Arabidopsis thaliana: one gene and its partners. The protein of the gene in region 1 interacts with the protein of each later gene in a pairwise test. Each region holds a gene or a part of one and is shown in the gene's direction. Other genes may lie near its edges.

The links.
Region 2: the proteins of AT3G56770 (region 1) and LHW interact in a two-hybrid assay, tested with the Arabidopsis thaliana proteins (one large-scale study listed by BioGRID).
Region 3: the proteins of AT3G56770 (region 1) and MYB11 interact in a two-hybrid assay, tested with the Arabidopsis thaliana proteins (one large-scale study listed by BioGRID).
Region 4: the proteins of AT3G56770 (region 1) and AT1G64625 interact in a two-hybrid assay, tested with the Arabidopsis thaliana proteins (one large-scale study listed by BioGRID).

Annotation. Positions count from the first base shown.
Region 1 is NC_003074.8:21,027,222-21,034,662, reverse strand, and holds AT3G56770 (basic helix-loop-helix (bHLH) DNA-binding superfamily protein), read left to right. Parts: upstream 1-3,908; 5' UTR 3,909-4,044; coding exon 4,045-4,272; intron 4,273-4,337; coding exon of another isoform or gene 4,338-4,446; exon of another isoform or gene 4,447-4,535; intron 4,536-4,996; coding exon 4,997-5,461; 3' UTR 5,462-5,761; downstream 5,762-7,441. Other genes in the region: AT3G56790 (RNA splicing factor-like protein), read left to right, coding at 208-828; AT3G56780 (FBD, F-box and Leucine Rich Repeat domains containing protein), read right to left, coding at 1,387-1,689, 1,806-1,928, 2,028-3,050.
Region 2 is NC_003071.7:11,647,396-11,656,784, forward strand, and holds LHW (transcription factor-like protein), read left to right. Parts: upstream 1-2,963; 5' UTR 2,964-3,334; intron 3,335-3,421; 5' UTR 3,422-3,499; coding exon 3,500-3,594; intron 3,595-4,052; coding exon 4,053-4,332; intron 4,333-4,443; coding exon 4,444-4,503; intron 4,504-4,581; coding exon 4,582-5,607; intron 5,608-5,699; coding exon 5,700-5,801; intron 5,802-5,874; coding exon 5,875-5,988; intron 5,989-6,068; coding exon 6,069-6,194; intron 6,195-6,295; coding exon 6,296-6,445; 3' UTR 6,446-6,748; downstream 6,749-9,389. Other genes in the region: AT2G27229 (Pentatricopeptide repeat (PPR) superfamily protein), read left to right, coding at 1,788-2,162. UniProt on the Arabidopsis thaliana protein: Transcription activator that regulates root development; promotes the production of stele cells in roots. Coordinately controls the number of all vascular cell types by regulating the size of the pool of cells from which they arise.
Region 3 is NC_003074.8:23,151,591-23,159,233, forward strand, and holds MYB11 (myb domain protein 11), read left to right. Parts: upstream 1-3,039; 5' UTR 3,040-3,167; coding exon 3,168-3,300; intron 3,301-3,716; coding exon 3,717-3,846; coding exon of another isoform or gene 3,847-3,850; intron 3,851-4,012; coding exon 4,013-4,781; 3' UTR 4,782-4,995; downstream 4,996-7,643. Other genes in the region: ATERDJ3B (DNAJ heat shock family protein), read right to left, coding at 35-94, 234-320, 407-523, 779-890, 1,231-1,366, 1,462-1,610, 1,686-1,756; AT3G62615 (uncharacterized protein), read right to left, coding at 3,770-3,850, 4,232-4,264. UniProt on the Arabidopsis thaliana protein: Modulates overall growth by reducing the proliferation activity of meristematic cells and delaying development. Flavonol-specific transcription activator involved in the regulation of several genes of flavonoid biosynthesis.
Region 4 is NC_003070.9:24,013,581-24,021,713, forward strand, and holds AT1G64625 (Serine/threonine-protein kinase WNK (With No Lysine)-like protein), read left to right. Parts: upstream 1-3,075; 5' UTR 3,076-3,297; coding exon 3,298-3,392; intron 3,393-3,578; coding exon 3,579-3,668; intron 3,669-3,761; coding exon 3,762-3,825; intron 3,826-3,965; coding exon 3,966-4,007; intron 4,008-4,066; coding exon 4,067-4,156; intron 4,157-4,232; coding exon 4,233-5,009; intron 5,010-5,102; coding exon 5,103-5,204; coding exon of another isoform or gene 5,205-5,249; exon of another isoform or gene 5,250-5,277; coding exon 5,278-5,601; 3' UTR 5,602-5,691; downstream 5,692-8,133. Other genes in the region: WNK10 (with no lysine (K) kinase 10), read left to right, coding at 6,340-6,390, 6,538-6,575, 6,692-6,919, 7,022-7,242, 7,329-7,486, 7,566-7,965, 8,056-8,133. UniProt on the Arabidopsis thaliana protein: Transcription factor that may regulate root development.

The DNA of each region.
Region 1 (7,441 bases):
TCAAAACGTGGTGTGGTGTGTATCATTAAAAAAATAGAAACCGACATAAAAGTTTCCAATTCGTGGTCGTTTAAGAAAAAGGAAAACGGCATAAAGTTTCCTATTCGTGGTTGAATTGGGATCATTCAATTGATGTGAATATAGGTAAAATACCTTTGTGTTTCTTTGTTCACGTTCGTTTCATACTTCCCCTAAATTTGTCTCATCATGGATAACAAGAAGCAGAGATATTCCAGGAGCATCCGTGACGATCGTGATGAGAGAGATAGGACTAAGCATCATCATGAGAGGTCTCACGAAGGAAGTAAGAGGAAAGATAGATCAGAGGAAGAGAATGGGGCGGCTAGGACGACAAACAAGAGTTCTAGGTTTGAAGATGTAGCTAGGTTTGAGAAAAGGCCGTATACTTGTTCTATTGCATCGGACACTACTTCTAGTCAAATCCTTGAAGCTGTTAAACGATTTCAGGAGCTGGCAATAGATACGGCTGTTGCACATAAACAGACCAAGGGCTTTTTTCTGCGTGTAGATGTACTTGGAAGAGAAATAGATGAGTATGGGCATGTGATTAATCTTAGTACATTGATGGTTAACAACAACAAACACAAGAAAGATGTTTTTCAGAATATTCTTAAACCTCCCCAACCTTTTAAATTGACAAAGAAGGAAGAGAAGAAACTGCAAACTCTAAGGCGTGTGGCAAAAGAAAAGGAGAAACAGAAGATGATTAGACAAGCGTTGTTTGAACCACAAAAATCAAAGGTGAAATTGAGCAACCTAATGAAGGTTCTTGCGTCTGAATTAGCAACCCAAGACTTCTTCTTATGAAGAGTTTCCTTCTTCTCATTTAACAGATTAACTATGAAGAGTTTGTTAAGGTCATGATGGCTAAGTGATGCTGTTTTGGAACCAAACAATGGCTCTAAACTTGGTTTGCATCTCTTACATATAAATTCTTGTGTTATGTTCTAATTTTTTTTTTGTGTGGGACTCGAGGTATGTTTTCTGGTTGTTTAAGAAACGAATGTTATATCCCTTTATGATCTATTTTGCGTCTGAATATTTTCAAAAGCCTTGTTATTTCTGTTGTCTTGCTCTTGTAATTTGTAACTTGGTCTAGTTCGTGGTTTTCTATTAAAGGTCTCTAGTGTCATTGTTTTTTTAAATGCAAATTAGGTCCTATCAATGGCAGTCAGTTTACGTTAAATTGATTTCCTAACGGGGCTCATTGAATAGCTTCAAATGATCAACGAAACAGAAGGCCAATAAAAACCTAAACACAAGAGAATGTGAAACACCTCAGTAGAAATTTTAATGAAACATTGAATTTAGTGAAGCATCAAATCATAAGATGTCCGCGAGTTTCTTCCAAATATTAGCAATCATTTAACAATTTGCTTTGTTTCTTATAATTTCATTCAAAAGAACTTCACATGACTTTGAACCTCTTGGCATCGAAGCTAAGTCCTCTTCAATCTGTTGCTTCGCTTCCACTTCACATGGATATGTCTTATAGAAGATTTTTGCCGTTTTCAAACAAAGCGCATGGTTCAGGAGATAACTCACCAGATCCTTATCTCCGTATCTCCCTGTGTACCCTTTCCACTCTAGAGCTTCAAGACTGGACAACAAACATTCGGGAACCAAACTTGGCGGTTCCCAACGACCCAACGGGGTTAGTAAGTAAACCTGCGATCACGAGAAAAAATGGTAAAACTGCTATTAATAATAAGATCATTGAGGTCGAATATTAAACACTAGTATAAATTACAATGGTAAAGGAAAAAAGGGAGAAAACTGAATACATGTTCAAGCTTGAGGACCACCAATTTAGTGAAACATAGGAGCAAATCTACAAGCATTTCCACAGATCTTTCACTACATATGCTCAGCTCCAGATGCACGATTCGACTGAAGGTACTTGCATCCTAGAAAAAAAAGAAAAAAAAAACACGATATTTCATTTATGTGATGGTTCCAACAAGATATAACACGAGAAAGAAACGACATGGAATGAAAAAAGTTACCTCTAATTTTGATGGAACTCCGAGCCTAACCCGTACAATATACCGGTAACGGCTTGCATATGCCAACTCTTGAATGCTGAAGTACTTGAAAGAAGGTGCGATAATCGCAAGCTTTCGAGTGTAGTTTTTCATCAAACTAAAAATATGCTTGGAATCTGCATCGACTCTTGTGATAATCGACAATCTTTGTAAGTAAGGCATGTCGATATCCAAATTCAACAAAACATCACTGGTTTTTTCTTCCAGTGTTAGGTCGGAGAGAACAGGGCAATTGGATAAAAGCCGACAAAAGGAATCATTGTTAAAGTCCTCCATGCGGGCAACATGGAGAGTTTTGAGGAGTGGGAGACATACCGCGGAAGAAGAAGAAATGCTTATCACATCCTTCAAGCCTTCGAGTTTCAAGGCCATAAGTGTTTTACACCAAGAAACGTCGTACTCAGCAAAAAAGAAACGAGATTCTCTTATGACCATTAGGTCAGTAATAAAATTGCAATTGGATAAAAGCATTTGAAGGGATCCAAAGTCGAATAAACTCGAGTGGTCAATGTGCAGAGTTTTTAGGGATGGGAGAGAGACCGTTGTAAGAGGAGCTTCCACATCGATCACTATACCTTTGAGTTTCAAGACAACAAGTGTTTTGCAGGTAAACAATTCAGGAGGTAATACGGTATGGACAATACAAGCATCTATCTCTAGCTCACGGAGGTGGCAATGATGATGATGAAGCGCGGTTCTAATCCATGGTCCAATGTCTTTATTCCACAGGGTCACACTTAATTCGACATGAAGGCTTTCTAGAACATGAGATTGGTGTGAGAACAGAGACTTGTCGAGAAATCGTTCAAATCTAGTGTGATCCCGAACATCGTACTTGAGTATAGGCACCCTTGTCCAAAGAGATTTCCATTTTTTTGACAAAAGACTTGTCACTACAACATGTTTAGTAGAAACGAATGACAAAATCTTCAAGATCAAATCGTCGGGCAACTCGTTGATACATGAACAAACCTTCTTTGTCATTGTCTCTGTTTAGGTCGAAAAAACATTAGACTATGTTTAAAACCCTAATTACAAATAACTTGTTTAGGTCAAAACTCTTTATTGCTTATCAAGTTTCTCCAATAACTAATAAATATAATTTCCAACTAATACTTACGAGATTTCGTGCGAGGTAGATTCTGAAGATCTGGAGTCTGGAGTCTGGAGTCTGGACGAAGAGGATTCACCGGAGTTATGAGATCTCACAAACCCTTCGACTTCCCCACAAAGAAGAAGATAACCAGTTAGTATGAACTTAAACCGATCTGATTAATGTTCTGGTTCAATTTCTTGGTTCAATCATATCCCTCGGTGTGTTTATATGGGCCAAGTAGAAAACAGAGTCTTAAAGCCAATTAATTTCCTTCTTTTCAATAGAAAAGGATAAAAAATCCATTACATAAAAATGCAAATGAGAAATATCAAAATTGTGCTTTCAATAAATCCCCTTTTAAAGAAGAAGAAACATAGAAGTTGTTGATGTGTTGTGTAGATATACTAACAAATTTTTTATTAAAGTTTGATATGATATTATTTGGTAAAAGATATATAGTAAAAAATTTCTTCTAAGTTTTTGCTTTTGTAAAATATTTCTTTTTTATGTTAAGATAACTTTGTAAACAAAAATTGGAATACCTTGCCAGTTGCCACCCTTCACTACCCAATTTTTTTTGTTATCTAGAGCTATTAAAAATGTTATGAAACATACAATTGCAATCGTTCGGTTGCGGAAAAATAATGAAACCTTTTTTCAAATTTTTTTTTTTAAAATATTTCTACAAACACCTAAGTATATATCTATGTACATACGACGACAAAAAAAAATATGTATGTACATACATCTCCTCTCACTCTAAGCTTATTTTCGTATAAATTATAGTATAGTCATATTCTTTTAGGACAGAACCCACCGAAAGAAAGCTCCAAACCCAACAAAAAGGGAGGCGGCGGAGAAGCAAACAACAGCAACAAAAAAATGCAGCCAGAGGTTTCAGATCAAATATTTTATGCCTTCCTCACCGGAGGATTATGTGCCTCGTCTACTTCCACCACCGTGACGTCGTCGTCTGACCCTTTTGCCACGGTTTATGAAGACAAAGCTCTTGCTTCTCTGAGGAACCATAAAGAGGCTGAGCGAAAGAGAAGAGCAAGAATCAATTCCCATCTCAACAAGCTCCGCAAGTTACTCTCTTGTAACTCCAAGGTACACAAATCTTTTACTTTACTATCTCACTACTCTACTCTAAACTTATAATGAAACTTAGATAGAGACTTGAACCGGAAAATTATAAAAAGCATAGAAGATAAAAATGGAAGATTAAGCATGATGAAACTATTAATTCTTTTGGGTTATTTAAGATATGAAATTAACTTCTAAAGTTACATATTCTTCAGTACTCGTCTAAACATGCATATAATTTAATTAGGAAAAGATTTATGAAATGAGGATTAAAGTTTTGATGTTATCTCACCAGAATTTTGTGTTTTTAATTAAATCTTTATATCCAAATGACAATTTTTTTGTCTTAATCAGATTAATCTTGCTTGTGTGATATACGTTACTACAGTCTAGTGTCTAGCTAAGATTTTATTTATTGGTGAGAAAGGTGGAATATTGGAAGTATATCACTTATAGAAAATGAACCATTTTAAAACTAACATCAGTCAAATGTAATGTTTTCGAATAATAAAAAAGCTGCAAGTACTGGGAATATCTAGAAAATTGAGGAGATATAAAAAGCTTACAAGCCCCTTTTTTTCTCTGAAGCTGATAATCACTTTGTCGGGAAAGTTATCGAGCTTTTTTTTTTCTCATTTGAAAACAATTGAAACATGAAGACAAAATTTCTCGAATCAAGACAAATTCTAATGATCTGACCTTTTCTCTTTCCTTGTTTCCTTTATTTGTTTTAATTTTCTTTACACAGACAGACAAATCCACACTACTAGCAAAAGTGGTTCAACGAGTCAAAGAACTAAAACAACAAACCCTAGAAATCACCGACGAAACAATACCGTCGGAGACTGACGAAATCAGTGTACTCAACATTGAGGACTGTTCCAGAGGCGACGATCGACGGATAATCTTTAAGGTATCGTTTTGCTGCGAGGACCGGCCAGAGCTCTTGAAAGATCTCATGGAGACACTCAAATCTCTTCAGATGGAAACTCTCTTTGCCGACATGACAACAGTCGGTGGTCGAACAAGAAACGTTCTCGTTGTGGCCGCTGACAAAGAGCATCACGGCGTCCAGTCGGTGAATTTTCTACAGAACGCACTCAAGTCTTTACTCGAACGGTCAAGCAAGTCGGTGATGGTGGGACATGGTGGTGGTGGTGGGGAAGAAAGGTTAAAACGACGTCGTGCGCTGGATCACATCATAATGGTCTGATCTCGATATGACTTGAGCAATTATTTAGGGTTTAACTTTATTATATAATTAATTAACGTGAGTATAATTACCACAAATCTTTTGTTTTTTTTCTCAAAAAAAAAGAAGACTTTATATGGGTTTAGTTATAAGTTTGAGTAATGGGTGTAAACATGTGTTGTAACTTGTAAGTAGGAATTTGTGTGTTCTTTTCCGATTCTTTTAGAAGAAAATACAAAAAAAGAAAAGGAAACTATAATTTTGTACAAGTTAAATCAAATTTTAGGGGTACGTAAAGTATAGGGTGATGACGAAGATTATTAGATTGTGGGAATATTTGTACAGACAGAAGAATCTAACAAAGAGATGTGATTGGGTAAAGTACTTGCAGCGAAACAAGACTTTCAAAACAGTATATGTATTTTAGAACTTAAAAGCATCATGAAATGGTGTATATAAAGTGAACGTACGATGCAGGACAGTCAAGAGAAGCTGTTTGTAGAATCTTAATGAAAGAATATATGGAGAAGTGTTAGAGTTTCAAAGCTACCTCATGTTATCTTGTCCCCTAAAGAGTTCTGCCTTTTGTTCGTATCTTTCTGAATATTTTTGTACCTTCATTTGTTTTTATGTCTTCCTTGAAGAAATTTTTAACCAATGTTATATTTACTGTATTTATCTATATATGTTTGACCACCTTTTTTCCTTCGTATGAATCGATCATATTGTATATAATATATTAAGAAAAAATCAAATTTATTTAGTATACTAGACTTCTAGGTTTTTTGGAGCACATGGAAAAAGCAAGCACAGATTCACAACAGAGTAGGTATGACGAAACTGGAGAATCTTTTCGTCAAATGTGAAAACCTATTTCTGTTAATGTAAATAAATATACTATTTGTTATTAGTAAATGTGGAGGACGGATTAGTGCTTGAGAATGAGGTAATACTTTTACCGTATTTGCGAGAAGGTGTAACACAAGAAACAGTACCACAAGACAGAATGTTTTTTAAGATTAAAAACTATTTGCAGTTTCATAAAATTTGCAAAGCTAAAATATTATGAGTACTAAATTGTATCCCTAAACATTACTATTTGATTAGAAAAAAGAGTAAACAAACAATGAAGAGGCAGGGTAAAGGCGTGAAAAAATAGAAACGAGAAAAGGATAGAATTGATGGGGCCATTCTTCGATGAGACAAAAAGCATTTCTATTTTTCTCTACTCTATAATATGGATTGTGGGGATGAATTAATTTCTTAATATATAAAGTAGACTCATTGTGATGTATGGGTGAATTTCTTAACTTATGCATGTTTGATTAATTTATTTATCTCGATACCACAGTGCCTTCACTTTCCTGTGCTGACATCGGATGATTTTGAAGTTCCTTTTTCTTTTATTTTACATTTGAATACCCTTTAAGGATTATTATTTATGATTTAATTCTTTACTCTTTCACCAAGTAAGGCACGAATTCACATTCTTCAACTAGCTATAAATGGATTTATAGCTGTTGTATTTTAAATTGATAAATTCACATCGCTCCACTGTTTGGAGAGAAAATAGAAGATGTGGTCTAAGTAAAGCTTTGATTGGTGCTGAAACATGATAAATGGTCGAGAGATGGCTAAGGTTAGTATATATGAAAAATATGAGCAATTAACTACAGACTTTTATGTTATATAATTCTTGAATTGTTGTCATTATTGACCATTTAAGGGGTTGGACATTTTAAAACTTCTCCAAACTCTGACGTGAAATGTGTAGGCTTTTGCAGTTTGGGAGACTATACTAGAGAGTATAACATATTGAGCTTGAAGAAATAAAAAAGAGTAAAGCAAAAATATAAATCGAGAAAGTATGTCTAGTAAGCGTGATGGTGTAGATGGAGTTGGTGTCTCCTCGATACTCAACCTCTCGACCAAAAAGAAAACATAAATTTAGCTTTTCACAAAAACTGAATAATTAAAGTTCCATTTTGAAAATAAGCTATA
Region 2 (9,389 bases), on another chromosome or scaffold:
TACAATATAACATTTTTCTTAGATCTTTTTAATAAATTACTATAAATGAATGCTTAAACAAATATATATATATATATATATATATTCAGCGAATGTAATTGAAAAGAGAATCTATTGGATTAATATTAAGTTGAAGTTGAGCTAAAGAAAAAAAAAACAATTGAAAAGAGAATGTAGTTTGGGCCTCTATTGTCTTTAGGGGTCTCTCTGATAGTAAAAAAGGCACTGCCACTTCTGTGAAAATTCAGAGAGTGAATGGCAAATTGTCACCGGTGACGTCATCAAGACAGCAACAACTACTAATTCCACCTCGATGGTTTATGAGACATCTAAGCATTAAAACATCTCTTTTTTTTTCTTTCTCCCAATTTCTCATCTACCTTTTCTTGTTAATAACAAATGAAAATCAGTTTTTTGACAAACAAAAAACAAAAATTCATTTTTTTATATTATGTTTTCACTCGAAAGTTGCAGCCTACCACAAATATTTACTTTATTACCACCTATAGTTTATGTACCATCTAAGTTACTAGGGATGTGTCTATATTCATTTGGTATATAGCAAATGTTTTTTCCACAAGAAACATAGACGAAACAAATTTTCAATAAATGTTATGTGTGTTCTCACATGGTATCAACGTTACACATTAAGAAAAAAAAAATCAACGTTACAAAACTTTGAGTGTTTGTTTATTTGTCTTTATTTGACCATGGACGAGAATGGCATCACATGAAATGTCTCTACCAATGGTTATGTGCTATATACCACCAATATTCATAAATATGATTTATCAGAACTTTACATAAAATTCTGCTATCAGTATTTTTTATTTATTTAATGGTAATAACTATGCTGATTAAATTTTAAAATCAGTATCAATTAAGAAAAACAGTGATTTTGTGGACTGATATATTGGTCGACAACCGATAAATTGATCGTTCGTGATTGATGACATGTGAACTATTTTGTATTTTTGTTAGTTTCGTGGATCATGAACACAAATAATATGTTTTTCACTACAAAATCTCACTCAGTCGGATTTTTCTTTTTAAACTTGTAAATTGTACAAACCATACAATAAGAGGCTATCTACGGTCCATCTTCCCGCAGAACTTTCATTATCCTTTTGTAACATACTGGCAGTTACATTTAAAAAAACTGTCAAGATTACTTGAAATCATTCGGTGTGGTGCCTTCTAAAAACCTCCCAATGCTCAAATTATATCTTTATTTTATTTTATTGTGGTCAAAGTATTACGATGTTCTTTTAGTGATTCAGTATAATGTTCATAGTTTTTCTGTTAAAAATATCATAGTAATTATAGATCGTTTTTATGGGGAAAAAAAAACTTAGTACATAGTAAAAGTAGTTAATAATCTATTAAAAAATAATATGGTTTGGACCTTTTTGCACCCACTAAAATATCAGTATATAACTAAGTTAAATCTTTAAATTAGTAATTACGAATTGCTTGATGTTAAATTAAAGTGTTAATGAGTTTTTCAGAATTTAATTTAACATGATAAATAATAAAATAATCTAAATATTAAAGAGTTTATTAGAAAATAGGCATTTGTCTTGGTTATATATTTATTTTAAGGTATTTCCTTACATGATTTTCGAAAGAGGTACTTTTCTCTTGTGAAAAGTCATCCTTATCCTCCTCTCATTTGCATTATCTTTTACCCAATTGAAGCAATAAGTCGTGTCTGTTTCCTATATTCGATATTTGCATCACCAATTGAAGCAATAAATCGTGTGTGTTCCCTATATTCAATTGAAACAATGGCGATATATGCATCATCTTCTAAATCGCCACTCCTGCAAAGACAACAACTCGGATTTTCAAGAATCCAAGTTTTTATATGGAAAATCACTGAGAGAGAGATCATTGTGAGGGATTTAAACCGGTTTCATCATTTCAAGAATGGACTTGTGGTGATTACTGGTAATTTGAAAAAGACAGGTGAGACGATATTCAAAAACCGGTTTCAACTCATTGTTATTTGTGAACCGATTTATTCTTGGTATAGGAAGACTCTGGGTGGGAAAAGATTCCAACTTTGCTTACGAAGGTTAAGTCGCAACAAAGAAAGCTTCTTTATTTCCGCCATGGACACAGCCTATCGTAGTCATGTGGACAGAACTGAAATTCTCTAAAATCAGAACCGAAATTCCACAAAATCAGAACTAAAGTTCCATAAAATCTATAAATTTTTTCGATTGGGTTCCCTATATATTATCTTAGGGTTTAGTATTGTGTAATTAAAAAGAAAAATTAAGTTTGCTTGAAAAACAAAGAAGAAATCGATTTAATCAGATTTTGCAACTATGTTCGATAAAGAAGAAGAAGAAAGAAGACGATGAAGAAGAAGAGAAGGAAAAAAAGACAGGGACAAAATTGTCCCGATTGAAGCAATAAATCGACACTGTTGTATTCAACTGTGGAAAATACCTATTTTGAAATAACTTTATTTAAAATGCCTATTTTAAATATAAGCTCAATATTAAACACCTTGAACTTATGTGTATTTATTATTTGTGTGTACGGGAAGCAATACCAGAAAATGAAAATCTCTTTTATTTATTGACAATCCATAATCCTACAAATCCTCTAACTTCTAGACTTATGCCGTTATTAAATATTTTAATATATATATATACATATATATTTTTAATAATTATATTTAGGAACGTCTTTTAATTTATCTCCGAGGGTACACTTTTTTTCTTTATCTCTTTTGTTTTTATCTAAAAACAAACTTTTAGGATATTACCTCACGAAAAAAACAATAAATTATTCGTCTAGCACCATCGGAAAAAGACAAAAGACTTCGACTACCCCACTCAGTGGCACAATCCTGTAATTTCTACTAAACATTGATACCCTTTCTCGAATTCATCGTGTTCTTTGTTTTTAATAAGATGGTACTTTTTCCTCATTTTTCAATCTTTTTTTCACCAAGAAGCAGAGAAAAGAAACATTAAAGCAGAGAAAAAACAAAGACAAATAATCTCCATTTGCTTTCTTCTCCATCTTCTTCTAATTTTCTTCAAGTTTTATCAATGGCTGGTGTTACTGGAATCTTAAAGCTTGAAGCTTGGAGCATCTTGTGAAGAAGATTAACTAGTTTCTTGTATTTTTCTTTTCTGGGGTTTTGAGTTTTTTTTTCTCTTCCTTATTACCGGAAGTAATGGCATGTCGGAGTATGATCGCTTTTAGTTTAGATCCTGAAAGAAAACAAAGTGGAGGACTTAGGACAAAACAAGCTGGAAGAGGATCTTGCCGTGGAAGTTAGTCTTTGTTCAAATCCATTTTCCTCTTAAAGAATGTAATAATGGGTTTTTATTGATTGTTGTAGATTTGTTAAAAAGTTTTGTTTTTAGACCTAAAGTTTCGATTTTTTTCTTCTGGGCAGTTTGAAATTGCACTGTTGCAAGTGAAAAAGTTTGTTCTTGTTGGAGCTTAAAGAAGAGAGAAGAGAAAGAGAAAAGCTATGGGAGTTTTACTAAGAGAAGCTTTAAGGTCTATGTGTGTTAATAATCAATGGTCTTATGCTGTTTTCTGGAAAATTGGCTGTCAAAATTCTAGGTACCACTCTTATTCTCCTAATTCTAATAAAGTGTCAAACTTTATTCAGTCAAATATATTCAGTGTTTGTTAGTTTAAAGTTTGAGAATTTTTTGATAAGGGTTTAAAACTCAGATCTCGAGGATGACTAGAATTATTTATCTCTGTTTAATTCTTGGAGTTTTGTGTTTGGTTTGATCTTGTTTGTCTTAAAGAATCTTTCGATTTGTAGTTGTTTTGTCGACAATAACTATATCCTTATTATTTGTTTATGAATTGTCTAAAGAGTTCAAGTTCTTTAACTCTCTTGTCATTTCAATTTTTATTTCTTGTCTTTGTTCGTTTTGTCTTTGTTTAGCCCAAAATCTTTTGTAATCGTCTTTTTGTGGTATTCTAACTTAAACGATTGTTGCATATTTTTGTCATGTGTATTCTAATTTTTTTTTTTTGATGTGTTTTTTTTACTTGTTTTTGTGCAGCTTGTTGATTTGGGAGGAATGTTACAATGAAACCGAATCGAGCTCGAATCCTAGAAGACTTTGTGGACTTGGTGTTGATACACAAGGGAATGAGAAAGTTCAGTTGCTTACAAACCGAATGATGTTGAACAATCGAATCATTTTGGTAGGTGAAGGTCTAGTTGGCCGAGCTGCATTTACTGGACATCATCAATGGATTCTAGCTAACAGTTTTAACCGCGATGTTCATCCACCCGAGGTTATTAATGAGATGCTTCTCCAATTCTCTGCTGGTATTCAGGTTTGATACTTTCTTCATGTTTTGAACATCCTAAGTTAGGCTTCTTTAGTGTATATATATGTTCAAGCTCATAAGAACTGTTTGTGTGTGCTTATTTTGTTTGTTCTTCAGACTGTTGCAGTTTTTCCGGTTGTTCCTCACGGTGTTGTTCAGCTCGGTTCCTCTCTGCCTGTAAGTTCAAGTTACATTGTTATGTGAAGTGAGATTCTTGTTCTTGATTTAACTGTGAATTGTTTTTTGTGTGTTCAGATTATGGAGAACTTGGGGTTTGTGAATGACGTGAAGGGTCTTATCCTGCAGCTCGGATGTGTTCCGGGGGCTCTCTTATCTGAAAACTACAGAACATATGAACCTGCTGCTGATTTTATTGGAGTGCCAGTGTCTCGGATAATACCTTCTCAAGGACATAAGATCCTCCAATCTTCGGCTTTCGTAGCTGAAACTAGCAAACAACATTTCAACTCCACTGGATCATCAGATCATCAAATGGTTGAAGAATCTCCCTGTAATCTTGTGGATGAACATGAAGGAGGATGGCAAAGCACAACAGGATTTCTAACAGCTGGAGAAGTTGCAGTACCTTCAAATCCAGATGCGTGGCTGAATCAAAACTTCTCTTGTATGTCTAATGTGGATGCAGCAGAGCAGCAACAAATCCCATGTGAAGACATCAGTTCGAAACGCTCGCTTGGAAGCGACGACTTGTTTGATATGTTGGGTTTGGATGATAAGAACAAAGGTTGTGACAACAGTTGGGGAGTTTCACAGATGAGAACAGAAGTACTCACTAGAGAGTTATCCGACTTTCGGATCATTCAAGAAATGGACCCTGAGTTCGGTTCTTCGGGGTATGAACTTTCAGGAACAGATCATCTGTTAGATGCCGTGGTCTCGGGTGCTTGCTCCTCCACAAAGCAGATCTCAGACGAAACTTCCGAGTCCTGCAAAACCACCTTGACTAAAGTTAGTAATTCTTCGGTTACCACGCCGTCTCACAGTAGCCCTCAAGGTAGCCAGTTATTTGAGAAGAAACATGGGCAACCATTGGGGCCATCATCGGTCTACGGGTCTCAGATAAGTTCTTGGGTTGAACAAGCGCACAGCTTGAAGCGTGAGGGCAGTCCAAGGATGGTGAACAAGAATGAAACTGCAAAACCGGCTAATAACCGGAAAAGGCTTAAACCAGGAGAGAACCCAAGACCAAGGCCTAAAGATCGCCAAATGATCCAAGATCGTGTCAAAGAGCTGCGTGAAATAATACCAAACGGTGCAAAAGTAAGTGAAAAACTTATCTGTTCTTGGCAAATTAAACAATCCCTAAGAAAGGTTATTACTAACAAAGAGTACATGTGGTTTTTATTTAACAGTGTAGCATTGATGCACTCCTTGAACGTACAATCAAGCACATGCTCTTCTTGCAAAATGTCTCCAAGCATTCTGATAAGCTGAAGCAAACCGGGGAATCCAAGGTATAACATAAAACAATAATATTTTGGTGTCTCTCATGGATTCTTGATCTAACGTTTGTTGTATTGTTATAAGATTATGAAAGAGGACGGTGGAGGAGCAACATGGGCTTTCGAAGTAGGGTCAAAGTCTATGGTGTGTCCAATTGTCGTAGAAGATATAAACCCGCCTCGCATTTTCCAAGTCGAGGTAACATTTCTGCCTAAGGTTCTTAATAAAAAACACTCAAGATCTCGGTTTTGATCGAACGTTTTCTGGTTTTGTAACAGATGTTATGCGAGCAACGAGGATTCTTTCTAGAAATCGCAGATTGGATCAGAAGCTTAGGGTTAACGATCTTGAAGGGAGTCATCGAAACTCGAGTAGACAAGATTTGGGCTCGCTTCACTGTTGAGGTATATTATATAAGTTACACAAGGTTGTTTAACTTGGAAAGATGAGATTGTGTTAGAATGTATCTTATTTAAACTGAAACCGGGTCGATATTGGATTGTAGGCGAGTCGCGACGTGACGAGGATGGAAATATTCATGCAACTAGTGAATATTTTGGAGCAGACAATGAAATGTGGAGGAAACTCTAAGACTATTTTGGATGGTATCAAAGCTACAATGCCTTTACCGGTTACTGGTGGCTGTTCAATGTAATGACACAAATTATTGACCGTACCGGATTGCTCCGGTTTAATAAACCGGGCTGGTTAAAAGCTTGATTCATATAGAGGTTACGAGCGGACCGCTCTCAAGGATTTTAGGCTCGCTATGACTAACTAAAAAGTCAGTCTAAACCAGAGATGATGATTTTTAAGTGTGTTTTTTTTTCTCAACTTTATGTTTTGTACATTAGTTGCGAATTTTCATTTGTGTGGAATTTTTTAATTTTAATTCAGTTTTGGAGTTGTAAAAAATTTAGTTAAATTGTTTAAAATTATTCTCGACCAGTAAGAGTTCAAACAATTCACGGATTTCAAGACCGGTAAAAAGAACCGGTCCATCAACAGCTTTAACAGTACACAACAAAGCTTCACATGTTACAAGTACCTTTATGTTACTTTGATTAGTAACTCTATGTATATAATTAGCTTATTATTAAAAAAAAAAACACAAGAAGCTCTACTTTCAATAAAACACACTCTTTATTAAGAAACGTGAGGCCTATAGAAGAAAAGCTAATAATAGTTAGTTATAATACTTTTGTTAACAGCCTTATAATGTGCTATCATGTGAATTCATAATCTCTAATGGATGTCTTAATCCATTCCTAATATTTACATTTTCTTCATACTACTAATTAGTGGATCAAACTTAGTCCAACATCAAATTCTCAAAACTGCGTTTTTGTTTGTTGTCTCAAAAATGCTTTATTTACACTTTTGAGGTACCTAAACTTTGCTGCAAAAGGTGCATGAACATCTTTGTGTCTTGCTTTAGCCATCTCTCCACTCTATAGATTATGATGGGATAATCGACAGCACATTATGATTCACTAAAATTCATTATATTTTTCTTGGGCCCTTCAATTTTCTTCCTCACTTTTAAAATATGCTTCCAATAATACTTTATCAACAGTCTACTAGAGATGATTTCCCACTAGGCTACAGATGTATATATTCTTTTATATAAACGGTGTAACCTTTTTCAGTTGTAAATATTAACCAGAACTTGTATACTATCAGTGACCAAAATAAAATAAATTAAAGTTGTATACTAGGTAACATAGGTTTTCTTAACTAAATAAATTTATATAGGAAATCTAAATTATTAAGGTATGCAGCAAGATTTGTCTTGTGTGGAGGAAAAGAAATGAGCCAAGATCCCATTATCCTCTAATATGATATGATTAGCTAATTTTGATAAATTTAGAAAATGAGATAATTTTTTCTTTGATACTGTAACTAGAACATATGCATATTTTGTAAAATATAAAAATGATAGGTTTCTATTGATAGCAAACTTTTCTTACTAGAGTGAATGTTTTTTCACTTCTAGCGAATCTTTTTTTTTGTTGGATAAACACTTTTAGCGAATCTTTTATATAGTAAAGCAGAAGCAAAGAAAACAACTATTTGCTACAGATGGATTTACTTAGCTTTTGTTTTGGTTATTGTACAAAACACTATATACATACCTTTATAGTAAGTAAACTAGTAATTATTCTTACCACATTGATCATTATAAAAGTCTCTAAACTTGAAAATTTGAGAGATATTTTTTTTGCCAAAGCAAAATTTGAGAGATATATATTGAACGTGTTTCACTAATGTTTTTTAACATTTTCCAAACTGACTAGTGTAAAGTTGTTAAGATTTGATGCTATTCATGGATGGGATCGGAAGTGACAGAAATGGATGTTACCAATGTTTTCTTGCATGGTTAATTGAAAAACGAGATATGCATGAATCTACCTTAAATACACCTCTAATTTTCTACCAACACATCTTATTTATAGACTGCATAAGTTATATGTCGTGCGTACTTATGGTTTCATGCCGTCCTTGGCTGATACTACCTTGTTCGTTAAAGAAATGAATCATTTTTCTACATTGCTGGTATATCGTAGCTATAGCTAGTAATAACTCTTTTGAATCTCTTTTTGTTGTTTTGCGCAGAGAGTTCAACATGAAGGATTTAAGTCTCTTATGCTTATTTTTTAGAGTATAAGTGGCAAGTTCGTGTAAGGAAATATCTATGTGTTGAAGGCAGGATCTATCAGAAGACACTGCTTTTCGCTCATAAATCATGTTATGTTTCCAATGGACCCTTATGTTCATTTCAGCAAAGACAAGATAATTATATATTGGATTCACCAACGACATATCAATAGCATATTAGACGTTTTCTCTATCGTACTACAACAATATATCATCTATGGAGTTCACAGGTTAAGCCACTTTTTCAAGCTCCTACTCATGTTCGTGTAGGATAGAATACTAGATATGAGGCTACTAACACAATGCTTCAGGTCATGCATGATTCGAGAAGATCGATTTCTGGATTTTTTGTGACTACCTTGGTAATTCTTTGGTTTCTTGAATTAAAAAATAGCCATCCCAGTATAAGTACGTAGGTGTAGTATAGAATCAGAAGCCACCTATGAGCTTATATGGATTCATCAGTCGAACACATATTTGAAGATCTCTTTGGTTGCTAAGGCTAAACTCTTATATATGGACAATTAATAAGTCCGTTGTTCAGATTGCTTCCGATAGAGTCTTGATTAATGAACGTAATAAAGCCCATAGAGATTAACTGTCACACAATTTATCATCATCAAAAATGGTTTTTTCAAACCATTGATGCGTCAAGTAATAAACAACTAGCATGCATCTTGACTATTTAATGCATTGTATCAAGGTCCTTTTTCGCTATATCCTTTATCGAATGTCAATGTTAATTAAGCCTTTTTATCCTTCACGGTAGTTCTTTTTAAAAGGTTTGAGAAAACGTATTATAAGTATATTATTCTAGTGTATGAGGTAAGTTTAAGTTACATTATTCTAGCGAGCATATTAACTACTTCAAGCAAATGAGAATTGGCCTTTCATTAAAAAATTTTTGTTTTTTGAATTATTAAGAGGTCTTTCATAAAAAC
Region 3 (7,643 bases), 2.1 Mb from region 1:
GTCAAGGATAGTGAAATTTAGGGAAGAGGCTAACCTTAAGGTCACCAGGGTCACCGTCAAGAATGGGTTCGCCGTCTTCATAGAAAGACACTTCCTGAAAAGTATTTGGTATTTAGAAACTAAGATCGGAAAAATCGATAAGCTCATAAATAAATCAAAATGAATTAAAGAGCTACTATGAAACGTAGTTTCGATTGATTTTACAATGAGGGTAGTAGAAGTTCGATACTTACTTCTCCATCTTTCATTCCTTTCTCGATATCAACTGTCACAAAGTATCCCTCCCGTTCGTATTTGACATTAGGGCATTTGTCACAGACCTGAGGGGAAGAAGAGGATACGTCGTTAAACAGTAATTAGGTTGGAACAAGACCATCTGTGACAATTGAACATATCCGTCCTTTACCTGCTCTGTCATCTGTTGGAACATTCCAGGACCAATTTGTCTGTGATAGACCTCGTTCCTGCAGTTACACTTTCTCTTTCCAGGAGCTGGTTTTATCACATTCTTTTCCCTCCATACCTGATAGTTCAATGTGGAACATTCTCACTGAGAACTTAATGCAATTTCTTTTATTTGCATTAATGTAAAAAAAAAAACTGTCTACTCTAACCAAAACATCGCCTGAACTGAACCTAAAGAATGTCTGAATGACACTATGAAATCTAGTTTACAAATTTCTATTGATTCTAGTACATTTGGATCAAAGTAACATTTCCCAGATGAGTAACATGTATTAGTGATGACAATAACATCCTGACACGGAGCTTAACATACCTTCATAGAGCCTCCCATGTACAAATCTTCTAGAGTTGCCTCAAGTTCCACAATTACGTCATCCCCCTTGACAACCTTCTCTTCTTCCTCCATCGAACCTCCACCAAAAAACCTATTAAACACATCAATAATCTCTGCAAATTAGCAATCTGCACCCTTTAAACACAAATGTAAAACATTATCCAAATTTAGGAACTATTCACGCTACAGAGTAAAGTCCCTTCTTTAAACACAAATGTAAAACGTTATCCAAATTTAGGAACTATTCACGCTACAGAGTAAAGTCCCTTAACATTACCAAATTCAATTGTATCCACTATCAATAAATAAAACTCACACGAATTCTATGTTAAGATGGGTTCAACAGGATAGAAGATCAGACAGATCCTAGTGACCCTGTATCTTGTACCTCTAGTTGGATCCTAAAGAGTTACCATTTGCAGAAAACTTACGAGCTGAAGATGTCCTGCATATTCATGCCGCCTCCTCCTCCTCCTCTTCCTCCATTTGCAGAAAACTGTTTAAGTCCCTCTTCACCATACTTGTTATATATCTCCCTCTTCTCCTCATCCGATAACACTTCATAAGCTATTACATCAAACACCAATACGTCAATTCTCAAAACTAAAAACGGGTGAGTTAACAAAGAGAGCAGAATCACACAAGTTGCAAAACGAAAATACCATTGTTGATCTCAGCGAATTTGCGAGTCGCTTCCTCATTTCCTTGATTCTTATCGGGATGATACTTCAAAGCTAGTTTCCTATAAGCTCTCTTGATCTGTTCATCAGATGCACCTTTCGGGACTTGCAACACATCGTAGTAACTCTTCCTAAATCCACAACACAGATTTTCTAAGCATTCACATTTTCCACACATTTCTGAAGGAATCGAAAGATGTTCTTACCCGGCAAGGACGCAGATGGCGTAGGAAAGAGCGAACAGTACGATACACAGCTCCGACCACCGAATCGCCATGGAAACGGAAATCGGATCTCTCCCAAGGATTACTCCAACCTGAGATTCGTTTCGATTTTAACAATGAAACCTCACAGAATGAACAAGAACGAAGATCTTCTTCGCTGATTTTTATGATTGGAAAACTCGAATCACTCTCTCTACTTGTTTTCGTGGAAACGATTCCAAAACTCGAGCCTCGTGGTCGGGTTACGTGTACACTGCAATGCTTAACCAATCAGGATTAAGTCTCTGACGATCGTAACCAATAAATATTAGCCACGTGGATAAACCAACGTCGAATCGCTGACTGTTCTTTTCGTCGACTTTAATGAGTACGACGTCGTTATACTCATATAATCTATACAAGGCGCATTAATAATGAAGCGGGCCTGTAACTCCCCTACGATTGTTATTCAATAAATGTGGCCTAACCCGATTAAAAACCCTAGGTTACTGGGCCCATACAAAATCGAGATTGTTTTATGTAAACCGATCTGGGGAGGCCAGATCCAAACTAGTTTTGCATATTTATGCATTATGGATTTTGTACCTACCATATTAAACTTGTTAATATAATGACAAAACCGCTGCTATGAGAAAATTTATTTCTTTAATCTTTATATAATCTAGACTATCTTAGTCACACATTACGTTGTGCATTGGTTAAACACTACTGGAGTATAAAACAAAAAAAGGTGGTTAAGTAATAAATACATATTTTGTTGCTTATTAATTACATGCAAAGAAACATAGACTGGTTTGGACAATCATGTCATATGTCAGGTCTCTTGATTCTTCGCATCTTCGACGAAACATTATTTACTAGACATACAATAATAACTAGACATCTCACACGAGTGGTCCCGATCCCCCACTAATACCATTTTACTGTCCATTGAAAAATAAAGAAACGTTGCTGACAATAGTAAACTAAATAAAATTGGTGTTTACATATTTTCCACGATACGAAGTAAAATATTGAGAAAGTATTACGCTTATGATTTTATTAATTGTTAGATGATTAACTGAATCCGAATTGAGCAGTATGATTAGAAACAAGTCAGAAATAATAAATGTATAACTAGTATTTAAAAAAAAAAAAAATGTATAACTAGTATTTAAAAACTATAGTTAGCATCTAATTAGAGACACTAGGACGACCCAGCTGGACAGCTGGTTAGTAGCTCTCGACCTATGATGAGCGCCTACGACTTTTGTTTCAACATAGACAAACGTGGCTCGTTCTATCACCTGAATATATAACCCACTCCTCTCTATTCTTGCATGTCACTCCTATAAATATTTAATACTAAACCAATCACTTTTTGTTGTGTCGTCACTTTACTTCTCTTTAAATAATCTCTTTCTCTAGTGATTGACTTTAGGAACAAGTGAAGTGAGTGATTTTTAATAATCGCCGGCCGAGAGAATGGGAAGGGCGCCGTGCTGTGAGAAGGTAGGAATTAAGAAGGGGCGCTGGACGGCGGAGGAAGACCGGACTCTCTCCGACTACATTCAGTCCAACGGCGAAGGATCATGGCGTTCTCTTCCCAAAAATGCCGGTAAAGTTTTTTTTATCTATACAGTACTCTGTCTCTCGACTATCGCATGCATCTCATAAGATAGTTTTTTTGTTTGGTCAAAATTTATAAGAGAATCTATATGCATCGAGAAGTTAATTAATCTTACGTACGGTTCAATTATACACCATGAGTTGTAAAAAAAATTAAAATAGAGACTTGATTTTTTTTTTTTCTATTTAATGTATCAGTTTCTATAAGGAATGCATAATATTTTAAAGTACATAAAGTGTTTATTGATAATTCAGACCAAATTGCCTTCTTGTTTTATTTACATGTATATATGGACTGTAACATCACAAATAAAACGATAATTTATTTCAATATTTAGGAAAAGATGAGTAATCGCTGCAGGCATTATTATGCCTTAATTAAAATCTGACGTACATTTTAAAAAGGGCTAAAGAGATGTGGAAAGAGCTGTAGATTGAGATGGATAAACTATTTGAGATCAGACATCAAGAGAGGAAACATAACTCCCGAAGAAGAGGACGTCATTGTTAAACTGCATTCCACTTTGGGAACCAGGTAACTTTTTCATTTGAACAAAAGTTTATTAATGTCGATATATTTCCAATAGAAAAAGTACACTATCACGTGAAATCATAAATCAAACTGTTGCTGTGTAACGTCGTGAAAAAAAACGTTTTTACAACAAAAAATAAGAATAGCGTCAACGCTAATTAAATTGCAGGTGGTCAACAATTGCGAGCAATCTACCGGGAAGAACAGACAACGAAATAAAAAACTATTGGAATTCTCATCTCAGCCGTAAACTCCACGGTTACTTCAGAAAACCAACTGTCGCCAATACCGTCGAGAATGCGCCTCCGCCTCCTAAGCGTAGACCTGGAAGAACCAGCAGATCCGCCATGAAACCCAAATTTATCCTAAACCCTAAAAACCACAAAACCCCTAATTCTTTTAAAGCAAACAAAAGTGACATCGTTTTGCCAACTACGACAATAGAGAATGGAGAGGGAGACAAAGAAGACGCATTAATGGTGTTGTCAAGTAGTAGCTTAAGTGGAGCAGAGGAACCCGGTTTAGGACCATGTGGTTATGGAGACGATGGCGATTGTAACCCAAGCATTAATGGCGACGATGGAGCTTTGTGTCTCAATGACGACATTTTCGATTCTTGTTTTCTATTGGACGACTCTCATGCTGTCCACGTGTCCTCATGTGAGTCGAACAACGTAAAAAACTCTGAGCCATATGGAGGGATGTCAGTTGGGCACAAAAATATCGAAACGATGGCTGATGATTTCGTTGACTGGGACTTTGTATGGAGAGAAGGTCAAACCCTTTGGGACGAAAAAGAGGATCTTGATTCGGTTTTGTCGAGGCTGTTAGATGGAGAGGAAATGGAATCTGAGATCAGACAAAGGGACTCCAACGACTTTGGAGAACCGTTGGATATTGACGAAGAAAACAAGATGGCTGCTTGGCTTTTGTCTTGAAAGATTTGACACCATGCATATGCCTTTTTCTCCGTTAGATTTTAGCAAAGACCCCACGTGGCAGGATCTGGTCGGTTTGTCAATAGAACATGTTTGTCCCCTAGCGTTCGTTTTTTAGTTTTAAATGTATTTATATTCTTTTTTATTTCTTTTCATGTGTAAATACGATTTTGGCGGTGGCAAATAAACAAAATAAAGTCGATCTTCTTAGTTCAATTACATATAAGCGATCCATTGATGATTACACCATTGATAGCCAACTTAAGTAATCTTTCGACTTTCGTATATATGTATACAAATATAATAAGAAATTTAAAATACAAAAAAAATATAAATAAAATTCAGTTCCATATTGTGAATCAGCAATTCTCACTATTGGTACATAGTCCAACACTTGCTAGTTGCATTCTAGGTGGAAGTATTTCAAAGAAACAAGTTTCTCTGATAGACTAATAATAGACCAAAACCCGAGCAAATTTCAAAGCATGTCGCCAACCACAACTCTTTTTTGTGTGTAAATGTTCACTGGTAAAGTGGTAATTAATGAACGTTTTGAATTTTGATTAAAAGCTATAAGACCATCTCCAACGAGAGGATGTAATCAAAAAATTGTTGGGCTCTCTTGTTTAATGACAATAAAAATAAATTAAAACTGATAAAAATCAAGAGAGTCGGCTTTCTGGAGAGAGTTTTGAGAATTTGAGAGAACCGTCGATGTGGCAACATGTGATTGGGTTTTCAATTTCAACAAAAAAATAAATGTGTGCGCGTTCTGTTCTATCTTCTTTCTCCTCTCTGCCCAAACGAAATTGACCAAAAGATGCAAAGCCCAATCATCGTTTCTTCTGAAAACTTTTCGCATTTGATATCTTTTCTTTGAAACTGAAATCAAGATACACAAACTGAAACCAATTTGTTCACCAAAAGAAAATAAAAATGCGTGGGTTTCGATTTCAAAGATATTCAGGAAAAGATCTCCGATAGCTTTCGTCTATGGCAACACTCTTTTCAATTCTGGGTTCGAGCTTCGTGGTTTTAAAAGCTTGTAATTTCGTGTGATCAAGCTCCTGCGACGCCGTTTGATGCGATTCAACTTTGAAAATTTGATGAAAAGCCTCTTGGTTATGCTTCTATTGCTCAGGTATTATAGATTATGGTGGAAACTTAACAATTAAGTAAACATGATTGAGTTAGAGTATTTAGGAGCTTGTAAAGCAGAAGGTCTTGGTGATGGACCCATAATGAAGCTGTATATTTATGTTGTAATTGAGGAAGATAATCTGGTCATAATGCTTTCTAGAATTAGCTACTCTTGCCGTAGAATTATTATCTCTTGACGTGGAATTGTAGCAACATTGTCAAACTCTGGTTATGTTTATACTAAGACAATATCATTTATTTGCTTTCTTAGGTTCACAGAGGAAGTATAAAGGGTAACAAGATGAATGTTGTTGTAAAGGTGAACATTATCGGAAGTTCTAGATGGGGCTGAAGCCTCTGCTCGAGCTATGACAGAGGTCGACCCCAAAGGAATTTTCAAGTCCACGGGTCTGTTTTCCTTTTACTGATCACTCTGTTTTTTTTCCTTTAACTTATCTATGGAGTAAATGTGAAGCCATACTAGTCTCATTTGAGCCCTCTAAAATGCAGGCTATGGTAACTATTTGTTTATGCTTGCTCCGTCAACCAATGAATCATTCAGACAAATGGTCATTTCCGATGCAGTCTCTGTTTTGATGCCGAGGTAACTGAGATTACTTATGGTAACTCTATGGTTCTTGATCATGGTTGGATTGACACTTTGAACAAGAAATGGGATTTGGTTCATTGCATTGAGGTTAGCTTAGGTTTGGCTTTTAATAAAGTTTCTATTTGAGTGGAATTGTAAAATAGAATTGATGTCTAGTACGTGTTTGATGAAATTCCTCTAAGAGTGAACCTTAAATCGTGTGTATTAAGCTTTGTTTCTTGATAAACAACTAATGATTTAGAGTTCTCTTCACGTTATTGTGATGGAAGTTTTATGTTCATACACTCAAATGTTCTTTTATGTTCGAACTCTTTGCTATATATTTGTTGTAACCAAATTTTAACCATAACACTTAAACACATAATCACAAATTTTCAAAACTTTATCTACAAGTTTAAGAAGCAAAACACTTTAACCATAAGTTTAAGAACCAAAATACATAACCACAAGTTTAAAGAACCAAAAAACACTTAAATTTTTGTTCTTTTTTCAAATCTATTTTAAAATGTTTGAAAAATGAAAACAATGTATATTTAATATTTTATGATTTGCAATAATTATTAAGTTTTAGTAAATAAAATAATTTTAAAAGAATAGTTTTTTTCAGAGAACCCCATTAGAGAGAATCTGTCATTGGAATATGAAAAACTAAAAAAAAAATAAGCAAAAGTTCTCTTGTAATTTTTGTTGAAATTTAATCAAAAAAAATTGAGAAAACCTCTCCATGAGCTCTCTCCATTGGAGATGCTCTAAAAGCTTAATAGGAGCCTTGCCAGTTGCCACAACTTATACGACTAATTCAGACTCTCTCGTTTCTTTTAAAAGGATGATATTGTTCCTAAGCGTAGAGTAGACGTTTTAGTAAATAGTAATTGAGGAAGAAACAAAAACACATAACGAGGGTCGCTATCTTTCGCTTAGAAGTACGATTTGGTCCATTGTCATTGTCACTTTTGTAATGCCTCACGTGATGCCATGCACTTTTGTCTCTCTTATTTATTTCCCCTTTTTTTACCGGGTGACTAAATGATACTTCAATACTTATTTACATAGAATAAAATCTTATTAAGTTCATGGGACCGATGGACCATTTCTACGAATTAACCGCAAAC
Region 4 (8,133 bases), on another chromosome or scaffold:
CATTTGAGACAATCGACTGATCAAATAAAGACATTATACTATGTATTAAACAGAATGCGAAGTTATTAATTCTTAGAGGGAACTGTGGGAGTATATAAAGAAAAGTACATATGTAATGGTGGTTTGATTAAAACTAAAAGGTTGTTTTACTTTGAAGACATCAGTACGTTTTATTTTCCCAGTTTGTAAGAAATGACACAATAATTGAAATTGATGTTCCATCAATAAAATGTGATTCACTATCTTGGTTTCCAATGGAACACAAAAAGACCAAGAAAAAAGGTGAATCATTATATACGATAACAAAAATAAGAAAGATTAAAATAAGTTAAGCCTTAAATATTAGAATTAAGATAAATTACGAAAACACGGATATTACATGAAGTCTTAAAGATGTTGACCTCGAGGGGATGCATGTTGTGTAAACTAGAAAATTGATTTTTGGAGTTTTTCTTCTTCTTATTCGTATCAAGTTCATTATTACTTTCATTTGTCAACCAAGAAAATAGTTTTAATATCACTAAACTTATAATAAAAATAAAAAATATTCTTTTTTAAATTGGGTGAAAAATCCAAAACATCATTCTTTTTAAAACATGGAAAGTATAAATTAACTCTGAAACTCATTTCTATTTTATGTAGACTAGGGTATAGGGCTAACAAAAATTGGTCTCATAATAGATATCGAACAAAAGACACAGAACCTAAAGCAATAACAAAGGAGACTAATAACCACAAATTTTTCTCATATAGAAAAAGTTTACATATTCTCCATAGCTATTTTTTCGAACAAATTAAGAGTCAAATGCAAAAGATTTTAAAAATTTTGTGTGCTTTCAAAGATGAAGTTTTTAGCGGTTAACCATGACATATAAATTCGTAATATTTTGTAGTTGTTTTTAAAAATATGATTGGATTATATAATAAGTTTTACCTTGTTTTCCACAACTCATTGAATAAAGAATTTGTCACATAAACAATACATATTTGCAACTGTCATAGTAAAAATATATTATCAAATCTAACAAAAATTATGTATATTATGAATAAAATACTCTAAATTTAAAGAAAAGTATGAATCCAACACTATCTCTATCTTAGTACATATATATGTGGACTAATGGTAGTTAGTTAGAGTTACTCTTAAGTTTTAAGCGATAAAGGAATTTTGTTTTGTTTTTGACAGAAAAATATGTTCTCTAGTCACATATTTTAACGAAAAGTTTTAAAATAGCTTATCTAACAAAAAGCAAGTGTACAACATAAAATCCAACTTTTGGATTTATTTCACCACTTTCGGACACAATTGTAATAAGAACGGAAAGTTTCGAAAAGGGACAATAAATCAACTAAAGACGAAAAAGGATTAAGGTGAAAATCTTGATGCCGTTGACTTTTGTTCTCAACGGCCATGATTGAGCGTGTGATGAGTATAAGAGACCAAATTATGGCTATTTCTAATAACCCCAAAAAATAAATTGATTGATGAGTTTTTCTTCATTTGATATGTAATTATAATCACTTATTCCATTTCAAGATTTGTGGATATCTATTGATATTCTCTACCACTATCAAGAAGCTAAAAGTGTATTAAGTGCATGTACATTAGCTTAGGCCGAGAAGTTTTTTTTTTTTTTTTTTAAAGGTGATGTATTTGTGGCACTTAGGCTTAGGCATGTAATGTGTGGTGTGAGATGTTGCGCGACTTGCGAGTAACAAAAATGGGTCTCAAATATTGAGGCATGTATTTCTAACGTTTGCTATATATGCCTTTGATGTTCTCTAAATTCTATTTTATATCGTATTTCCATAGTAATATTCAGTAAAATCATGAAATTCGAAGGTTGATATCAGAGTTTATATAGTATAAAGTTTTAAGATATAAATAATCCATTGAAAACTCAAAACATAGGTACAAAATAGCACCATGTACAAATAAATAGCTAAAATAAAGTAATAAAGTAACAAATTAAAACACGTTTAATACTATTCATGAACTAATGTTCAAGTCTATTTAACATTCACATTTTTCCTTGCTTGTGATCTTCTATATAAACTTAAAATTAAACATGCATGGTTTCCTGATAATAATAAGATGTTTAGTTATATTAAAGAAAAAAGATAGTAGCTCTCAAGACTTAAGGCGGAAGCATAACCTTATTTTTTTTAGGTTGGTACCACAAGAGACCACAACTAAACATTTGGATGAATATAGGTATAACAAATCTCTTATGATATGTATATATCTGGCTTATATATGAATGCATACTCTACGAATGTATGTGACTGCTGACGACATTGGTGTTAGACTGTTGATATAATTATATGAGGCAGTGGATCGAGATTTGAGAACTACTTAAGTCAAGATTATCATACCGAGAATTCAAGATTTAGGTGACACATATTTTGGGAACCTCATTGGCCCATACACTAAAGAGGCGGTCATTCTTTCTTTATAACTCTAAACCATATTTTCCAACCAAAAACGGTCGATGTTAAGCTTTAATATGATGTTCAAGATATAGGATACGAGGGAGAAGATGATCGCTAGAAACTCCACAGCACCATTTATCTTCCTCTGTTGTGGGGATCACATTCTCCTCATTTTTATTTTTCCATTGCACCAGTTTCCACTATAGAAATTTTCATCAAATGTTAGTTAATTAATCATATCTAAATATATTGAATACTATTAAAGTATATCATAAATTCGTATCGAGTATTTAATGAATCGATGATAAAAAGTAAAATCAAAATAAAATCTCCCTTTATGGAAATTATACCCTCGAAGATCCTCTCCCGTCCTAAATTTTTCAAAAGACAACAAATAAATATATAGTAATCAAAGCAAACTTTTTCACTAAACCGGCAATAGCCGGTGTAATTCACGTCACTTCCGGGACAAAAGCGTGACTGGACACCGGCAGACAAATCACATCAAATAAATAATAGTAATATATTTAATTCCTCAGACAAAAAGGCTCTTCCACTTCTTATCGAATTACAAACATTTCATGTTATTGTTTGGTTATATATATAGAGAGACAAAGCTCTTAACTCCTTTTTAATTGCTTGAACAAAAAGCAAAACTCAAAGGAATTTTCTCTGTATTTTTTTCTATCTGCAGAAAATTAAAGAAAAAAAGAGAAAACTCAAAAACCCACATTTTTCCTCTGTTTCCAGCTTTTCTTTATCTTTGGAGTTTGGTTTCTGGAGAAGACAAAAGTTGTTGTCCTTTTTAAGAGTTCGAGATCCTGCAGAAATTAAAAGGGCTCTTCCCGGCTTGGATTCCTAAATATGGGTTCAGAGTATAAGCATATATTGAAGAGTCTCTGTTTAAGCCATGGATGGTCTTATGCTGTGTTTTGGCGTTATGATCCCATCAATTCCATGTAATTTCTCTCTTTTTTCTTTCGAATGTTATATGCATGTTCCTGTCTTGGATAATATTTGCATAAAACTAGTTTTGTTTTCCGTTGATTTAGGCAAAAGACTGAATTGCATATCCTCTGGTTTTATATGTGGCTTCCCTACTTTGGTGTCCATAAATGTAATTTAGTTTTGTTGAATTCCATCAGGATATTGAGATTTGAAGAAGCATACAATGATGAACAATCAGTCGCACTAGTTGATGATATGGTTCTCCAGGCTCCTATCTTAGGCCAAGGGTATGCTTTTACACTTCACTCAAATCTTTTATATATCTGTCTCTGTGTTTGTGTTTATATATCTTCAATATACTTTTCTTTTGATGAAATTAGAATTGTGGGAGAAGTAGCTTCATCCGGAAACCATCAATGGCTGTTCTCAGACACATTGTTTCAGGTTTGTTCACTTCTTTTTCTTGGTGTTTGATTTTTCTCATCTGTGAGCTATAATGTATGTCGAAATATAGTGACTGCATAGAACATTTCATGATGAAGAAGAAAAAAGATTTGATATTCGTGCGTTTGATTGTTTTGCAGTGGGAACATGAGTTTCAGAATCAGTTTCTCTGTGGCTTTAAGGTAATTTATATTTTGTCTTCTCTCCAAGTTTAAGGATTCATATATCCATTTTGAATCAGATTCTTATACGGCAGTTTACTTATACACAGACTATCGCAATCATTCCACTAGGATCCAGCGGCGTTGTTCAGCTAGGATCTACTCAAAAGGTTTGCATATATAATTATATAACAATGTTTTCTTGTTGTGGAAGTCATGGTCTAATTACTTACTATCAATCTTTAGATTCTTGAGAGCACAGAGATATTGGAACAAACAACAAGAGCTCTCCAGGAGACGTGTTTAAAGCCACATGATTCCGGTGATCTCGATACTCTGTTTGAGTCACTGGGAGATTGTGAGATTTTCCCAGCTGAATCTTTTCAAGGATTTAGCTTTGATGACATCTTCGCTGAGGACAATCCTCCTTCTTTGCTCAGCCCTGAGATGATCTCCTCTGAAGCAGCTTCTTCCAACCAAGATCTGACCAATGGAGATGATTATGGGTTCGACATTCTCCAGTCTTACTCTCTGGACGATCTATACCAGCTGCTCGCTGATCCACCAGAACAGAACTGCTCTTCCATGGTGATCCAAGGAGTTGACAAGGATCTTTTCGACATTTTGGGGATGAATTCTCAAACGCCTACAATGGCTTTGCCACCTAAAGGACTCTTCTCAGAGCTCATAAGCAGCAGTCTTAGCAACAACACTTGTAGTAGTTCTCTCACGAACGTGCAAGAGTACTCTGGTGTGAACCAGAGCAAAAGACGGAAGCTTGATACATCATCGGCGCATAGCTCAAGCTTGTTCCCTCAGGAGGAGACAGTAACAAGTCGGAGTTTGTGGATTGATGATGATGAGAGATCAAGTATTGGAGGGAACTGGAAGAAGCCTCACGAAGAAGGTGTGAAGAAGAAAAGAGCAAAGGCAGGAGAAAGCAGGAGGCCGAGGCCTAAGGACCGTCAGATGATACAAGACCGTATCAAGGAGTTGCGAGGGATGATTCCAAATGGAGCTAAGGTAAATTGAATAATAATATAGTTTAGTTTAGGGCATCCAAATTATAGATTAACAAATGCATTCTCTAATAAGTTTCGATATATATTTAAACAGTGTAGCATAGATACGTTGCTGGATCTGACCATAAAACACATGGTGTTCATGCAAAGCCTCGCCAAGTATGCAGAGAGACTCAAACAACCATACGAGTCTAAGGTAATGAATCAAATATATCCATTCAGTAAGTACACAAGTGTTTGAGTATTGATGAGTGAATGATGTTTATCAGCTGGTGAAGGAGAAAGAGAGAACATGGGCGTTGGAAGTGGGGGAAGAAGGAGTGGTATGTCCGATAATGGTGGAGGAATTGAACAGGGAAGGAGAAATGCAGATAGAGATGGTGTGTGAGGAAAGAGAGGAGTTCTTGGAGATAGGACAAGTGGTGAGAGGATTGGGATTGAAGATATTGAAAGGAGTGATGGAAACAAGAAAAGGACAAATATGGGCACACTTCATCGTACAGGCAAAGCCACAAGTCACAAGGATTCAAGTCTTGTACTCACTTGTTCAGCTCTTTCAACACCACACCAAACATGATGATTTATTATCATAGTATAATACCTACCACTTTGATTTTCTTTCTTTTTGTTACAACAACAACACAAGAATCTGTTGATAAATAGTAGTAACATTACATCAAAGAAGATTGTATGGGCTCGTGGAAAAAAAAGAAGAAGATTGTATGGGCTTTAAAACATTGACTAAGACAAAGAAAGAAGGCCCATTTAAAGAAAAAAGGAACGTAACGACACCGTTTTGGGTGGATAACAGTTAACTGACTGAATCAGAAAATAGATGCCCGTTATCCTTGACGAGGATAAAGGGGAGACACTGTATATAAATAAAAAGTTGAACAAAGATCAAATCCTCAATCTGTTTTTAGGGTTTCGAGAGAGAGAGAGAAATTGATTTTTGTTGATATTTGTGAAATTTGGTGGCGAAATTGAAGCTTCTTCATCGGTCGTTGTCTAAAAGCAATGGTGGATGGTTGATGAATGGAGGAGATGCTCTTCTTCTTCTATCCAATAACAATAATAAGAGACACGACGCTGACACAAACGCAGAACCATCTCACCACCGTCATCATCTCGGAGATGGCCGCCACACTCCTCTGTTCCCGATCTCGATTCCGATCGGCGATCGACTCCTATTGCTTCGCCCGTGAGGCCTTCTCCGATCCAATCTCCTTCCATCTCCTCACCCTTCTGTAACCACCAATCATCATCCCTCCTTTCTTCTTCTTCTTCTTCTGCTTCCGGATTATTAGTATCATTAGGTTAGAATATCTGCCATGGAAGAGGCTGACTTCGTCCAGAAAGATCCCACTGGTCGCTACATTAGGGTACGACGCTATCTGCAATTTCCATGGTTTCTAGGATAACAATGTCAATCTATAGACTTTTCCTCGATAAGATTTATATAAGTAATAGCTACGTTAATGGCTTGGAAGGTCACTTTAGGATAACAATCTTCTTCTTTCTTTCTTCAGTATAATGACGTTCTCGGGAGAGGAGCCTTCAAAACTGTGTATGTTTGTTTGTTTATACGTCCTTTACTTTTTCATTGCAGTGCCTATGTTACTCTGATTGCTTTTTAAGTATTTTTCTCATCTCTTGTTGTTGTTGTTACCTCGCCGCGTGTAGATATAAGGCATTTGATGAAGTCGAAGGTATTGAAGTTGCTTGGAACCTCATGAGCATTGAAGATGTCTTGCAGATGCCTGGCCAACTTGATAGGCTATATTCCGAAGTCCATCTCCTCAATTCCCTTAAACATGATAACATCATCAAACTCTTCTACTCTTGGGTTGATGATCATAACAAGTCCATCAACATGATCACTGAGCTTTTCACCTCTGGTAGTCTCACCCTGTATGTCTACTTACTCCTCTCCTCTCTTCTTCTCTTTTCATTATCTCTTATAATATATCTACGTCTGCCTTTCCATTGATTGTCATTTCTCTTGGTCCAAAGTTATCGCAAGAAGCACCGCAAAGTTGATCCCAAGGCCATCATGAACTGGGCAAGGCAGATTCTTAAAGGCCTGCACTATTTGCATTCTCAGACCCCTCCTGTAATTCACCGTGACCTTAAGTGCGACAATATTTTTGTCAATGGAAATACCGGAAAGGTCAAAATTGGAGATCTTGGGCTCGCTGCTGTGATGCAGCAACCCACTGCTCGAAGTGTGATTGGTAATAATACTATTAAAACCTCTTTAAGTCTTGTTGGTTTTAGGATAAGCTTTTCTAGAACTGAATATATTGAGTATGTTTTTCAGGCACTCCTGAATTCATGGCGCCTGAGCTTTATGAAGAAGAATATAATGAACTTGTCGACATCTATTCTTTTGGCATGTGCATGTTGGAGATGGTAACATGTGAATATCCATACAGAGAATGCAGAAACCAGGCTCAAATATACAAGAAGGTTACCTCGGTAAGTCTGACCTGATATATATAAGTCTTACATTTCTCTTCGACACAGGGATCGTCCTTGACCATTGTTGCATTAGCAGGGTATAAAACCTCAATCTCTCAGCAAAGTTGATGATCCTCAAGTTAAGCAATTCATAGAGAAGTGTCTTCTCCCAGCTCCTTCTAGACCAACTGCTCTAGAGCTCCTGAAGGACCAACTCCTTGCAGTAGATGGCGCCAAGGACTCCACTCTTACTGCTTCATCAAACACAACATTCAAACCTGCAATGCCACCACAGTGTGAATATCGTCCTATGGATGTTGAATATAAGAAGAATACAAGTGTTTCCATCTGCTCTTCTGCTAAAAGCAGCCAAGAATGCGCATTGCTCCAGACCATGGAAGTCCAGAGGGTTGCTGAAAGTACCGAATTCAAGCTGAGTGGAGAGAGGAGAGATGATGTGGCAGCATCAATGGCTCTGCGGATCGCGGGCTCATCTGGTCTGTTTCACGATATCTTATGGCCATTTTCTTTTTCTCTTCTCTTGCATATTTTCGAATTGCTTAATGACAGTATAAATTTTATATCAGGTCAAGCGAGAAAAGTTGATTTTGACTTCAATCTGAAGACAGACACAGCAAGAGCAGTTACAGGGGAGATGGTTGAAG